Linked DNA regions of Rattus norvegicus. The protein of the gene in region 1 purifies or fractionates together with the protein of each later gene. This does not show direct contact. Links are inferred from orthologs where the notes say so. Each region holds a gene or a part of one and is shown in the gene's direction. Other genes may lie near its edges.

The links.
Region 2: the proteins of Ppp2r1a (region 1) and Pabir1 purify together in Homo sapiens (affinity purification with mass spectrometry; 4 studies listed by BioGRID and IntAct, counting the BioPlex papers as one, with this or other methods). This does not show direct contact. The link is inferred for Rattus norvegicus from reciprocal best matches to the Homo sapiens genes PPP2R1A and PABIR1.
Region 3: the proteins of Ppp2r1a (region 1) and Eif4a1 purify together in Homo sapiens (tandem affinity purification; 3 studies listed by BioGRID and IntAct, with this or other methods). This does not show direct contact. The link is inferred for Rattus norvegicus from reciprocal best matches to the Homo sapiens genes PPP2R1A and EIF4A1.
Region 4: the proteins of Ppp2r1a (region 1) and Fgfr1op2 purify together in Homo sapiens (affinity purification with mass spectrometry; 5 studies listed by BioGRID and IntAct, with this or other methods). This does not show direct contact. The link is inferred for Rattus norvegicus from reciprocal best matches to the Homo sapiens genes PPP2R1A and FGFR1OP2.

The regions. Positions count from the first base shown.
Region 1 is NC_086019.1:69,223,183-69,226,698, forward strand, and holds part of Ppp2r1a (serine/threonine-protein phosphatase 2A 65 kDa regulatory subunit A alpha isoform), read left to right. Parts: intron 1-1,348; coding exon 1,349-1,463; intron 1,464-1,568; coding exon 1,569-1,639; intron 1,640-2,057; coding exon 2,058-2,192; intron 2,193-3,516. UniProt on the Homo sapiens protein: The PR65 subunit of protein phosphatase 2A serves as a scaffolding molecule to coordinate the assembly of the catalytic subunit and a variable regulatory B subunit.
Region 2 is NC_086019.1:231,540,897-231,544,053, reverse strand, and holds Pabir1 (P2R1A-PPP2R2A-interacting phosphatase regulator 1), read left to right. Parts: upstream 1-1,336; 5' UTR 1,337-1,398; coding exon 1,399-2,259; 3' UTR 2,260-2,643; downstream 2,644-3,157. UniProt on the Homo sapiens protein: Acts as an inhibitor of serine/threonine-protein phosphatase 2A (PP2A) activity. Inhibits PP2A activity by blocking the substrate binding site on PPP2R2A and the active site of PPP2CA.
Region 3 is NC_086028.1:54,882,579-54,885,604, reverse strand, and holds the end of Eif4a1 (eukaryotic initiation factor 4A-I), read left to right. Parts: intron 1-176; coding exon 177-345; intron 346-426; exon of another isoform or gene 427-568; intron 569-666; coding exon 667-776; intron 777-866; coding exon 867-1,010; intron 1,011-1,086; coding exon 1,087-1,224; intron 1,225-1,309; coding exon 1,310-1,399; intron 1,400-1,439; exon of another isoform or gene 1,440-1,582; intron 1,583-1,641; coding exon 1,642-1,721; intron 1,722-1,832; coding exon 1,833-1,977; 3' UTR 1,978-2,512; downstream 2,513-3,026. UniProt on the Homo sapiens protein: ATP-dependent RNA helicase which is a subunit of the eIF4F complex involved in cap recognition and is required for mRNA binding to ribosome.
Region 4 is NC_086022.1:181,221,125-181,225,111, forward strand, and holds the start of Fgfr1op2 (FGFR1 oncogene partner 2 homolog), read left to right. Parts: upstream 1-1,173; 5' UTR 1,174-1,490; intron 1,491-3,987. UniProt on the Homo sapiens protein: May be involved in wound healing pathway.

The DNA.
Region 1 (3,516 bases):
CAGTAATAGTTGTCATCAACCACATGTTAGTCAGATCAGGGACAAGTGCTCTTTGTGCCAAGATCCAAATTTTCTTAGCCAAGAGCATGTTGGTTTGTTGTTGTTTTTCCCCTTGTTAATACTGAGAGTTGAACCCAGTTCTTAACCCATGTTAGGCAAGTGCTCTACTGTTGTTGCAATATTCGCAGGTCCATAGTTATGTCCTTTTGTTTGTTTGTTTGTTTGTTATTAGCACTACCTTTGGTAGAGGTTCTGGAGTCAGTTATGTGTACACATTCCTGGCCTTGAAGGAGCAGGCTAAAAGTCAGCCTCACTAGAAAGTGCTGATGGGAGCTAGAGAGATGGCTTAGCGGTTAAGAGCACTGACTGCTCTTCCAGAGGTCCTGAGTTCATTCTCAGCAATGGTGGCTCACAACCTACTGTAATGCAGTCACATGCCCTCTTCTTAAATAAATCTTTTAAAAAATATTAGTTCTAATGGAGTATGTTATGTCTTGTTCTGTGTGCTTGATGGCATTGCAATTGAGTGGCAGTTAGATAAGAAATATGTCAGAACAAAAAGACAAGCCCGTGCAGAGTATGTAGGAGATAAGAGACAGAGTAAAGCAGGAGCATTCATGGCCTGATGCTGAGATTAAGTGAGCAAAGGGGCAGGAATGATGGACAAGAGCTCCTCATTGTGATGGTTAGTTTTCTGGGGTCTGCTAGAAGACTCATCCCTAAGGATTGTATTCCTGGGTCTAGTAAAGTAGTTTGAGACCTGGCCATGTAGAAGTATGTGTACCTGGGAGGCGTAGTACCAAGTAAAGGCAAGTCAGGCTTCTGATCTGCAAGGGAAGCAGGCTTAATTCTTTGAGTAGTAGAGAGTCATCCTGCTCCCAACTGTTCTTCCAGCAACCTAGTTGAAGCTGTCTGTTCTAGATCCTTTTCCTACATCCTTGTTACTGGCATGTGTTTCCTTCTTCACTGTTTTTAATCATTTTAATCATTTTACTTTTGAAAATTATACCAACCAGTTTAGTAAACTGTTAAGTATGTTTACATATTTTCATGTTAGTGAAAGCAGGAACCACTTAACAGTGTTTAGGGAATGGGAAATTCAACCTCAAAGAACCTGAACAATAAATGTAAAACATACTGTGGAGGATGTCCTGTAACCATCGTTCTATTTCTGAAGATGTCATCAGAGAGGTGACAACTTCACTGATTGGTCATGTCTTTATGCTGGGACTATGTCCCTTGTGCTGTGTCCTAACCTCATTCTAGTGCTTTCTTCTCCATTTTTGCCTCTTTAGCCCTGAGTGGCTGCCACACTCTTCAGTTCTGCTCCTCTTCTCTTTGTGTACAGCTCCAGAAAGCAGTTGGGCCTGAGATCACTAAGACAGATCTGGTGCCTGCCTTCCAGAACCTGATGAAAGACTGTGAGGCCGAGGTGAGGGCCGCAGCCTCCCACAAGGTCAAAGGTTGGTGCTGGCAACCAGAACACAACTAGTTGGGTGGCTTTCTAAGAGGCACAAATGGGCTCAGAGCATCAAGTCTCACCAGCACCTTCCTGTCCCTGCCCACAGAGTTCTGTGAAAATCTCTCAGCTGACTGCCGGGAGAATGTGATCATGACCCAGATCTTGCCCTGCATCAAGGTAATAGAGTAGTGTTTGATGGTAGGATTTGAGACTGCTAGAGATGGGTGAAGACTTTGTTTTAGGTACAGTCTGATCCAAGCCAGGTTTTCAGTCCTTTTGGGATGTAGTAACTGAGCTGTAGACAAAATCTGAGGGTTGCTGCTGACCCTAAGGTCTAAGGGATGTATTTGCTGCTCCAAGACCAGAGTCCCCTTATGAACAGAGTTTTTGGAGAATGAGGCAGTGACCCTGGGTTGGGGTTCACATAACAAACAATCCCTGTTGAGAATAAATCCAGTGCAGCCCTGTGATGCCCCACATATGTGAAAAGCAGAAGACTGTGGTCTTCTTGGGCCATCGGGGCTACTATCTATGTGACCAGTTGCAATTAAAGGGGATTTCTGACCTTTGTTACCTCCTTCATTCTTTTCTGAAGGAACTCGTGTCCGATGCCAACCAACATGTCAAGTCAGCACTGGCTTCAGTCATCATGGGCCTCTCTCCCATTCTGGGCAAAGACAATACCATCGAACACCTCTTGCCCCTGTTCTTGGCTCAGCTGAAGGATGAGGTAAGAGTGGCAGAAAGGTTTGCAGAATCAATCAATTATCCAAGAGTATAAAATTTTGGCATCACACTCCACACTCCCTGCTTTGCTGAGTAGATGACAGGCATTCATGTCTGCTTGTTCATTCATTCTTCTCAGACATTGCTTCAAGTTCCCTTAATTTTGCACTCATCTGTCTCCTGAGTATTTAGGACATGAACAAAGACCAAGACAGTGGTGATCTTTAAGGACTTACAAATGTGCCAGTAGAGAGGAACAGAGAGATAAAGTGTTCCATAATTCCACTCAGAAATTGTAGGTACTGGGAGAGGTGGGCCACGGTTTAAAGCTTTAGGTGACATAGAGACTAGAATACAGTAACATCTAGTCAGTTATGATTATTCCTCTCACATCATTCCAGCTGGCCCTATTGTGACAGATTAGCCTTGCTGGCCTGGCTTTCTTGGTCTGATGCCACAGCTGTAATTTGTCTCCTGGCCCACTGAAGGTCCCATTGAAATAGCTCTAGCTTGTGTCTTCTACATGCTCTGTTGGCCATAGCCAGTCTGGTCACCATACTTGCTTGTGCAAGTGGCTTTAGACTATGGAGAATGAAAGAAGTCACTGGTAAGAGTTTAGAGAATTGGATTTGAACCTGTAGGCAAGTGCTGCAGCTGCAAGAGATCTTTCTGTTAGGAAAGTATAGCCAGTGGTAGGGAGAGAGAAGAGAGATGGCCAGAGGTCCTGGGAAGCCAGACTAGTGTGATGCTGTCCACTGACAGTCTTTAATGGAGCTTGTTGGTAGATTACACAGTGGCTAATTCTGTGATGGTGAATGCAGATTTGTCCCCTTTCCCAGACTGGGTCAAAGATGCTTCATAGGCTGTTTGTACTCAAGAAGTCTTTCTTAAAAATGGTGTGTGAAGTCAGTTGAAAGGTTTTAACATTGATAGCTCTGGATTTAGTTTCTAGCACCACAAGAAAAAAATAAGGCTCTTGGGTCTGCATTTTCAGTTTTCCGGAGAAGTTTCTCTTCATAGCCAATGTGCGGCTGCTCCACATGTCTGTTCCCATAGATGTCCCTGCCCTATGGAATGAGTGTGAATGGATACATTGGAGTTCATAATACCTCTAGTCAGAGATTTGTCACATGCATCTCAAGGTACAGAGTTCCATGTCAGTGGGAAGAAATGAGTGATAGAGAATAAACACAGCATATTCATTCCTTTGTGTTCCAGAAACTGGATACTTCTTTCAGTTTATCCAGTGGTTCCCATTTCCCCTTGCATAGCCTCCGCTACCCTGAGTGAGACTAGGTGGATATTTTGTGTTAAGGGACAATAGCCAG
Region 2 (3,157 bases), about 160 Mb from region 1:
AACAGATGAACAAAGCACAAGCCTATTATTCCCTTGCCTAACACTGCTCAGTGTCTTCTCATCAAAGGACTAGGTGCTCAGTCCTTTGCCCTCCAAGATCACTGTCTCCATCTTGCTTTTTCTTTCCTGTTCGTCGCCAAGCCAGTGGGTCTGTTGGCCCTTAAGCATTGGTTGGAACGCTTGGTCCTGCCCCCACCTTCTGCAGTCCACAGGATTTGTAACTTACAACTTAACTCTGCCCAATTGTCCCTTAACTTCCATCAGTAGTGCTAGACCACACCATCCCACTTTTCTCCCAAACACTTAACACCAAAAGTCTCCTATTTTGTCAATCCCCACTCCCATCCAGTAGCAAGTGAATGACCTCACACAAGTCTCATTTCCTAATACAGTAAGTAGGTGTGCCCGGATAGGAGAGTTGACTGAATAAATGAACAAATACAATTCTATTTAATGAGATACAAAGTTTTGTATTAATTACATAAACCAAAACCTGTTATTCTTTAAATGTGTGCATTTTTTTTCTTTCATTGAATTCCCATACCGAGTGAGCATGAGTAAGTAAATGGTTAGCAGCAGAAATATGACAACTTTAAAAAAATGTCACAAAGCTTCTTCCTCCCAATCACCTTAAGTCTACTATTCTCTCCCTTTCCCCTCCCAGATTCAGCCCTGGGGTAAATTACCCTCCTCTTTGGCCTTTTCCCTGTGGGTTCTACTCCCATGTCTTATTCTTCAGATCTCAGCCTAAGGCTCCAATAGTTCAGCTGCTACTGTACCCTTCTATCCTTCTTTGAGAACGCCTGGGAGTTTTTATTGTTCTCAAGAAAGACCAGAACCTATTCTTGTCCACCATCAGGCTAACAACTCTCTTCTACTGGTTCCCATCTGCCACCTAGCTGGGCAGCAGAGGTTTCCCGCTTTCAGGACAGTTTTACAAAGCGCCGCTGTTGCCTCCTTTAGACTTCAGAAGCCTGTGCTCCATCCCTCGGGAAGCCCACCCAGGCTAGACCGTGCTCCATCATGAAGCCCCACATCACCAAGGGACTATCTTTCTGAGCTCATACTTGCTTCATAAACATATACTTCTGAGCGCCCCGGCCTCTCTAACCAGCCTTCCCGCGAGCCCGCGCCCAGTGATTATTTGCGGAAGGAACGAACAGAGGAGTCGCCCAACCACTGCTCGCCCCTTCCCCGCCGCGGCGCCACAGCAATGACGCATTAAGCTGGCGCCTCAAGAACGAGCGTGTCAGGACGCCTGCGCGAAGGGACACGCATGCGCAGAGGCGTGAGCCCTCTGACAGATTCTCGAAGGCGGCGGCGGCGGCGGCCTTGGGCCGCGGGGAATGGGAGTCCCAGGGCCCTGACTGAGCACCGCCCCCGCCTCCCTGCCGCGACATGGCTCAGGAGAAGATGGAACTGGACCTGGAGCTGCCCGCGGGCACGGGCGCTAGCCCAGCGGAAGGCGGCGGCCCGGGCAGCGGGGGCCTCCGGAGGTCTAACAGCGCCCCCCTCATCCACGGCCTCAGCGACTCCTCGCCGGTGTTCCAGGCCGAGGCGCCTAGCGCCAGGAGGAACAGCACGACGTTCCCGAGCCGCCACGGCCTGCTGCTCCCGGCCTCGCCGGTCCGAATGCACAGCAGCCGCCTGCACCAGATCAAACAAGAGGAGGGCATGGACCTGATCAACCGAGAGACGGTCCACGAGCGCGAGGTGCAGACCGCAATGCAGATAAGCCACTCCTGGGAGGAAAGTTTCAGCCTGAGTGACAACGACGTGGAGAAATCCGCCTCTCCAAAGCGCATCGATTTCATTCCGGTGTCTCCAGCACCGTCACCCACCCGGGGAATTGGGAAGCAGTGTTTTTCACCGTCCTTGCAAAGTTTTGTGAGTAGCAACGGATTGCCTCCAAGTCCTATTCCCAGCCCAACCACCCGGTTTACTACCCGGAGAAGCCAGAGTCCCATCAACTGCATTAGACCAAGTGTTCTTGGACCATTGAAAAGAAAATGTGAAATGGAAACTGATTATCAGCCAAAGAGATTTTTCCAGGGCATCACCAACATGCTTTCTTCTGACGTTGCACAGCTGTCAGAGCCCGGAGTGTGTGTATCTTCTGATACCCTGGATGGAAACAGCAGCAGTGCCGGATCTTCCTGTAATTCACCAGCGAAAGTCAGCACTACCACCGACTCTCCTGTGTCGCCTGCCCAAGCAGCCTCCCCCTTTATTCCAGTAGATGAACTTTCCTCAAAGTGACTCACTCGTCTTGAATCCCCCTCCCCCAATGGAGAGACAAAAAAATCAAGTTAGAGCAAGCACTGAACTTTGTCGATTACGTTGAAGCTGTTTCCTATTTGACTCTTCCCTCTTTTTGGAAATTCCTGAAATGTTATTCTAGAGAATTTCTATGTCAGGTTCCTGCGGATGCCCTTGAATTCAGTGTAGTAATATTTTCGGACTTTTTATCAATAAGTGTGTTGAAGCATACATTTTACGCTGCTAATATGTCTAAATACATATGTTATCCCTTGATTTTTTTAAATAATTGAGAGCTCTATTTATTTATGGGATTATTAAGTTCTGATGAAAATATAAATGTTGAATTTCAGTTTAGTAAACTGATGTTTTAAAATTCCATAATTCATGGCACACTAATTTTTGGTGTTTTTCAATGGTTGCTATTTTCCATCTACTGAAGAACTTACCTTCTTACAGCTAAAATAATGTTAGTGATATCAGTCCACTGGTTGTCTAGTTTACCCAGGAGCCCTTGATATTTAATGTCCTAGGCAGAAAGGTGGGTGGGAGGGAAAAACGACAAAAGGAGAAATAACACTTTGCAGCAAATATTTTAAAATTAAGTATATGAAAGTAAATAAGGACATTTTCTAACAATTTTCATAGTAACTCTAGTAAATCACACTAATATAACTACAAAAATGAAATTTCTTTTTGAAAACATTTTTAACCAGAAAGTGCATTCTTTTGGGTATAATCCTAAACATGCAATGGGACAGTGCCTTGTAGTCTTAGCTCACATTAGACAAGCGAAGGCAAGGCTCTTGCTACCATTTCAAATTTAACATTTGTGAAATGTAAATGTGTGGGAAAACACCCAGACAGATGATGCTCTCTCAATCCTTGATAGACTTTA
Region 3 (3,026 bases), on another chromosome or scaffold:
AACCTGTGTGGACGGATCCAGCATTGCCATTTGGTGGCGGTATTGGTGGTGTTGGAAGAGGATTAAGTGGATTCCTGTTTCTCAGTTGCTAAGAGTGGGATAATTCCTGTCTGTAATAAGAAAGACTTAACTCACTGGTACTGCCCAAGTTAATGTAGATGCCTTTCTACATTTAGATTCAAAAGGTGGTTATGGCACTGGGAGACTACATGGGTGCCTCTTGTCATGCCTGTATTGGGGGCACCAACGTGCGTGCTGAGGTGCAGAAGCTGCAAATGGAAGCTCCCCATATCATCGTGGGCACCCCTGGCCGGGTGTTCGATATGCTTAACCGGAGATACCTGTGTGAGTGCCATGGAACAGTTGTTGGGCTCTTTTCTACATTTCATTTCCTTGGATGAGTTTTCCTTTAGTTGGAATTGAGTTGCTCTGTGATGAACCCCATGCGTGTCATCTGAGCCTGGCTTCCCTGTTAACCTTAGCCCAGGTAGTGTTCTACTTACCAGGGCTTTTGCATGACCTATCAGGGAAGCCGAGGGCAAAGGATCAGTCCTTGCATTCTGAGAGCAGACTGTCTGCCTTCTGCCTGCCTTATCAAGAGACCTCAATATATTTCACATTTGTCTGATTACTATATGTTGGGGTTTTTTTTTTCCTGCCATCTAGCACCCAAATACATCAAGATGTTCGTCCTGGATGAAGCAGATGAAATGCTAAGCCGTGGGTTCAAGGATCAGATCTATGATATATTCCAAAAGCTCAACAGCAACACACAGGTAAAACAGATGGTGTTGGAGGGACGGTGGCTCGGTTGTGATTTGATTGTACAGTGCACTCAATCATGGCTGGGGCATTTTTCCCACTAGGTAGTTTTGCTGTCTGCCACAATGCCTTCTGATGTCCTTGAGGTGACTAAGAAGTTCATGAGAGACCCTATTCGGATTCTTGTCAAGAAGGAAGAGTTGACCCTGGAGGGTATCCGCCAATTCTACATCAATGTGGAACGAGAGGTGGGGCCCAGTGCAGGAGGCGGGCCTGGTAATAAGTGTTGGGTATAGCTCCTGATTGATGTTTCCTGATCTCCAGGAGTGGAAGCTCGACACATTGTGTGACTTGTATGAAACACTGACCATCACCCAGGCAGTAATCTTTATTAATACCAGAAGGAAGGTGGACTGGCTCACTGAGAAGATGCATGCCCGGGATTTCACAGTTTCTGCCATGGTGAGTTTTCTCAGTCTTGTTAATGATAGATGTGTCTTTGTGTGTTAGGAGCCTTATGCTAGCTGCTCCTAACCTTGTTTTCCAGCATGGAGATATGGACCAAAAGGAACGAGACGTGATCATGAGGGAGTTCCGGTCTGGCTCTAGCAGAGTATTAATTACCACTGACCTGTTGGTGAGTAGATGCTCTTTTAAGGAAAGAAAGGGAGAAAATAGCCCAAGGTGATTCCCTCTCCAAAGGGCTGACTATGTGCCCTTTTTAGGAACGTAGCAACTTGGAAGAAAGCCAGGCATGTCCAAGGTCTCTGGGGAACAAGGAATACTTGTTTCCTTTGCCCTCCTTTGGCAGCCTACATATATGCTTACTAAATTAGGGTTGATAGTGTCCTCTGATGGCTTTATTCTTTCTTGACCTAGGCCAGAGGCATTGATGTGCAGCAGGTCTCCCTAGTCATCAATTATGACCTTCCCACCAACAGGGAAAACTACATCCACAGGTATTTACCTGGTCTGACAGATCAAACACTCCCTGTGCTTAAAAAAAAAAAAACACGTTCCTTTCCCCAACCTAACGCCTTTTTAAACTAACCTCCCCCCCCCCCCCCCAGAATTGGTCGAGGTGGTCGGTTTGGCCGGAAAGGTGTGGCTATTAACATGGTGACAGAAGAAGACAAGAGGACTCTTCGAGACATTGAGACTTTCTACAACACCTCCATTGAAGAGATGCCCCTCAACGTTGCTGACCTCATTTGAGGGGCTGTCCTGCTACCTGGCCCTAGCCCAGGGTTCAGTCCTGGGGGCAGGGCTGAGGAACAGCTGGAGGGGGGAGGGAAGGGAGCCAAGGGATGGACATCTTGTTTTTGTTTTTTTGTTTTGTTTTTTTTTTCTCTCTCTCTCTCTCTTTGAATAAATGTCACTTTTTGAGGCAAAAAGAAGGAACCGTGAACATTTTAGACACCCTTTTCTTTGGGGTAGGCTCTGCCCCAGGCGCCGTCTCCTTCCCCCCCAAACACTAATGCATTTCCCTAACCTAATCACCTCATTCCTAAAGGCTTTCCTACCCCAGCCAAATCTCCAAAAGTGAGTCAAGGGGCTAAAACATGGCTGGCCTCATTTGCTGGACCAAATCTACAGGGAGAACCCCCTGAATGAGGTTGTCCAGGGACTTGTCCCCAGGTGAGGGGAGCAGGGGAGAGAAAATGGTAGCCATTTTTACATTGTTTTGTATAGTATTTATTGATTCAGGAAACAAACACAAAATTCTGAATAAAATTACTTGGAAACTGCCTGTTTGGGCTTCTTGTTTCTTCCCTTCCCTCTCCTGCAGTTACTAGTGTGGTTCAGCTGCCCCTGCACTAGTTCTTTCCTGAATTTGCCATGTTGCTTCCTGAAATACCAAATGACCCACACTACTGAAATTTGGTAGTGGGCTTTAGCACAAGACACAAGTGTCACTTGCTCCCAGTTTTGAAAAAGTAGTAATGGGTTCAAAGACTTCAACTGGGTGTTAGTCATAACCCAAATGTGGGTGCTAATTACCTTGGGTTCTGTAGCCCTTGCTGTCCTGCGGTTATATAGGCCAAACTGGCCTTTTGGGTCTGCTTGCTGCCTTACAGTGCTGGGATTGAAGCACATGGGTGAGGGTGAATTTCTTACCAATGAGGAAAAGGCTTCCTGTTTGCCTGCTTTGTAAACTGCCAAGTAGAGCAAGTTTTGGCTTAGGTAAGTTCCGTGTGAGTCAACTGCCTCATCCTCACATGGTAACTAAGACTACCGCCCACTGAGAAGGCCACTACCAATCA
Region 4 (3,987 bases), on another chromosome or scaffold:
AGGAAAATCCACAGGAAAAGACTGACAGCAAAAGTATAACCCCAAATACACACACATCTCCTAAGGTAACTTGCATATTGGGTCTTCCTATGGCCCAAACTCTCATCCTCTCCCTCAACTTGCAATACACTACAGTAATTCACCATGTAGACCAGAACAGATGCTATCTCATGCAGATGAGGAGGAAACACTTCTAAAACTTTTATATATATATATATATATATATATATATATATATATATATATATATATATACACACACACACACACATATATATACATGTATACACACACACACACGTGGTGCACTGCCCCGCTTCGCTCTTAAAATTTTAGAGCAAAAAAAATTTTTTTTTAAAAATCTACATTCTAAAAGCACATGGGAAACAGAGCAAGTGTAACGAAGCATCTTAGGGACCCGCTATTACCTCCGGCTGCTCTGGAGCGCACCGCCTCTCCCCGCCCAAAGTCCCTGTCTGCAACCTTCTGCACACACCTGGCTGCTAGGTAGAGGGGTGGGGGGGGGGGGACAAGGTGAGTGGACGGGAAAGCCCTCGGCGTCGAGGTTCGCTTACTTTCGTGCCTGGTCCTGTAGTGAGCGAACGGAGGCTAAGGGAGAAGGCAGACGAGGGTGGGTGGGGAGTCGGCGCACAGACGGTCTGGTACCACCCGCAGAAGACTGACTGCCCGGCTCATCGCCCAACACTCCGGCTTCTTAAACGCAGGAGCGCGCGCATGCGCGTGCACCCACCAAAGCGCACTCGGGCTCGCGCGTGCGCACGGCGCTCTCGCACAGTCCCGCCATCTTCCCCTTCCCCTTAGAGGCTACCAGAGGCCGAACCGGAAGAGGGCGGAGCAAGTGAGGGGAAAAAAAAGAAGGCTCTAACGATTGTTCCCAATCGACCGTTGGGAAGAATGGTCAGGACCACCTGAGAGAACCCCCAAAGTACTAGCCGCAGCCGGGATAAGCCGGCCTCGGCTCTGCACAGGCAGAGCGCACCCACTCAAGCTCCCCTCTCCGCCTTCAGTCCAGACCGGTAGCCCCTCGGAAAACGCGCGAGAGAGTGCGAGCCGCCAGAGCAAACCCGTGAGAGCAGAAGAGGGAAGCCCCGCCCCCTACCCATCCACCAATCAACAGCCAGCCGCCTGCAGGGGGCGGGGCTTTCGGTAACTCGCGGAGGGAAGTCTCGCGAGGCTTGTCGCTGTGTGGCTGCCAGTAGCGGAGGTTCTGGTCCGCCCGGGATGGAGCCGAGGCAAGCGGGCTGCCGGATCCTCCCTGCCGCTGTGTGAGCAGGGCTGTGTGTCCGCTCGCTGAGCAGGCGCAGCGAGGCCGCGGAGAGCACTCTCTGGGCGCCTCCATCTCGCGGGTGGTGGTCGCCGTCTCTGACGGCTGAGGGGGACTGAAGCTGAGTGGAAAAACACGAGTGGGTGAACCTCTGAGCCGGGCTCCCTGTCTCCGTGCTCTCACTGAGCTCCTGCCGGGAACAGAGGTACGGAAAGTTCCATGAAAACCCCCGGGCCTGCAGGCCACGGGACACCCTTTCCGGGTTTCCTTTCCTGCCACTCCGGAGCTCCGTGGGCGGTGGCTGGAGGGACTTGTCGGTGTTGAGTTTGCCTCAGCGCACTCGACCGCGTTTGCGACTGGGACTTAGCCACGATCCTGAGGGAGCTGCTGAGATCGTTTGAATCCCTCAGCGCCCTTCCAAATTCTGTTCCAAGTTGGAACAACTGGCTTCCCTCAGACAGATGTTTCAGAAGCTCCAAGTGTGTGCTTTCCACCATTTTCAGGAACAGTGCAGTTCCTCTGCTTCCAGAGTGATGAGTGGGGGCTGGATGCTTATTTGTGTGTGTGATCCGCACGCATTCTTTCTTTATCCCATTCTTTGAAAGACTCATGCCGTATATTGCCACTGTCATCTTTGACAAGAGTGAGGACCCTGTCTCTTTTCTTCCGGTCCCTGATCGTAGTACCGTCCCCCTTTCCAGAACACGGACCTCAGAATTGTCTAAGGCTCTGTATTCCACTCACACTGCACCAGATTTTTTGCTTCTTTCACTGTGACTATGACAGTTGCCCTTCCTCCACCCCAAACCGGTGTGCCCGCCTCAGCCTTCCATACTTACTGTGAAATGCATTCTCTCTCCTTAAACTTTTTCAAGTTCTAATTTAAGCCTACCGATCCGTCAGGGCTTTTTACCGTCCTATCTTAAATCATATTTTACCTCTTCAGGGCCATCCTGTTGCCGCCCCTAATTTTTTACCATCCACTTATGCCCGGCTGTTGGGGGTTTCCCAAGCATACCTCACATTTCCGCCACTGCTGTGTGAACCCAGATAGTCTGTTGGGATGCTTGGTTTTCCTTCTGTCTCATCGTCTCTCAAAACCCTACGTCTTTTTAGACTCCCTCGGGTGACATCGATAACACAGTGAACTCCCAGAGCTCTTGACATAATTCCGCAGTATTTATTAGGATGCATTATTTGTTCAGTTACCTGTCTCTCCTGCCAGCTTGAACTTGAATCTGGAATCGTGTCTTACTCATGTTTAAAACAAATGCTAGTTCAGTGTTGGCTCATAGCAAGCATTATTATTATATACTATTTATAATGTAATCATTCTAAAGAATTTGCTATAAAAATTCTGTCTCTTAAAAATCAGAATATTAGAACCCAAAAGCCCTTACCTGCTTTGAGCATGAACATGAGCAGCCTTGTAACCCTAACACTTATGTAATTAATTGTACTTTTGCTCTTAGTGGATGGAGATTGTATATAATATCAAATGCACATGCATGCACATACCCTATGCATTCAAATGATTTTATATTATGTTAGTATCATGTTTAACAACTAGGATCTTATGGGATGCAAATGTTTTTGATAGTGCTCAGCATAAGAAAAATTCCAACTCTTGGCCATATGTTAGAAATAACTGGCTTGGGTTAGGTTAGTTCTTTTTGGGATTGTTAATTTGAACACACAACATAGCCACAATTTTAGGGAGTGTATAAATTGGTCTTGATTCAATGTGCTCTTTCTCTCAAATTGTGTTCCTTTCAACTTTAAGAATTGATTTTCTTCATAAAGCTCCAAGTATATTAATATTCAAGGACAGTAGGAATTTTCTGTACTTTCAAATAGTGTATGTGCTGAACAAGATGCTCATTTTTATATGTTCTTTATAAACATTTTGTTTGTTTGTTTATGGGTGGTTGTTGGAGGCTCTACATAGTCCTAGCTGTCCTAGAACTCACTAGGTAGACCAGTCTGGCCTTAAGTTCACAGATAAATCAACTGGCTCTGCCTCCCTAGTGCTGGGATTAAAAGTATATACTCCCATAACTGGCTATATACATTCTTGATCTCTTAAAATATTTCTCTAAGGACTTGAAACACATTTTTATGTTGCTATTTTCATGTGCCAGTTAATATAATATTATTGCATATTTAATAACACTAGAAGTACCAACCTGAGCAGTAACAATTTAAATTTTTGACATCTAAAAACATGTCATATCATACCATGTTTTTGTATCTCCAGAAATTGGATGATTAGTAGATTTGCTAATAAAAGAAACAAGAATTACTTGAATTTCTTTAGATTTTTCTTAACTAAAAGCTAAAAAGTATCCAGCTGGCAATTGCTGCTGTGGGTAGGTGGTGGTTTCTCTTTAATGAGCAGCAGAATGTTCTGGACCATCTGTAAGAATCTGACTGCAGATGTCTTAGTGGTAGAGTGGGTGAAAATGTGGCTAAGCAGGAAGCAAAAGAAGAAAGAAAACTTGTTTCTTAAAGGCATACCTCTGTAATTTGAGCCTACCTGTTTAAAATAATTTAAGAGTATTATGACTAGTTAAGACAAAACTGAAAAAATAGGTAAATAAATTGAAAGTATTCCTTTTTTAAATTGGATTCACTTTTTTACTGTGTAACAAAATGTGGAAAATATCTCTCCCACTTTACTAGTCAAAAAGGGAGAGAAACAT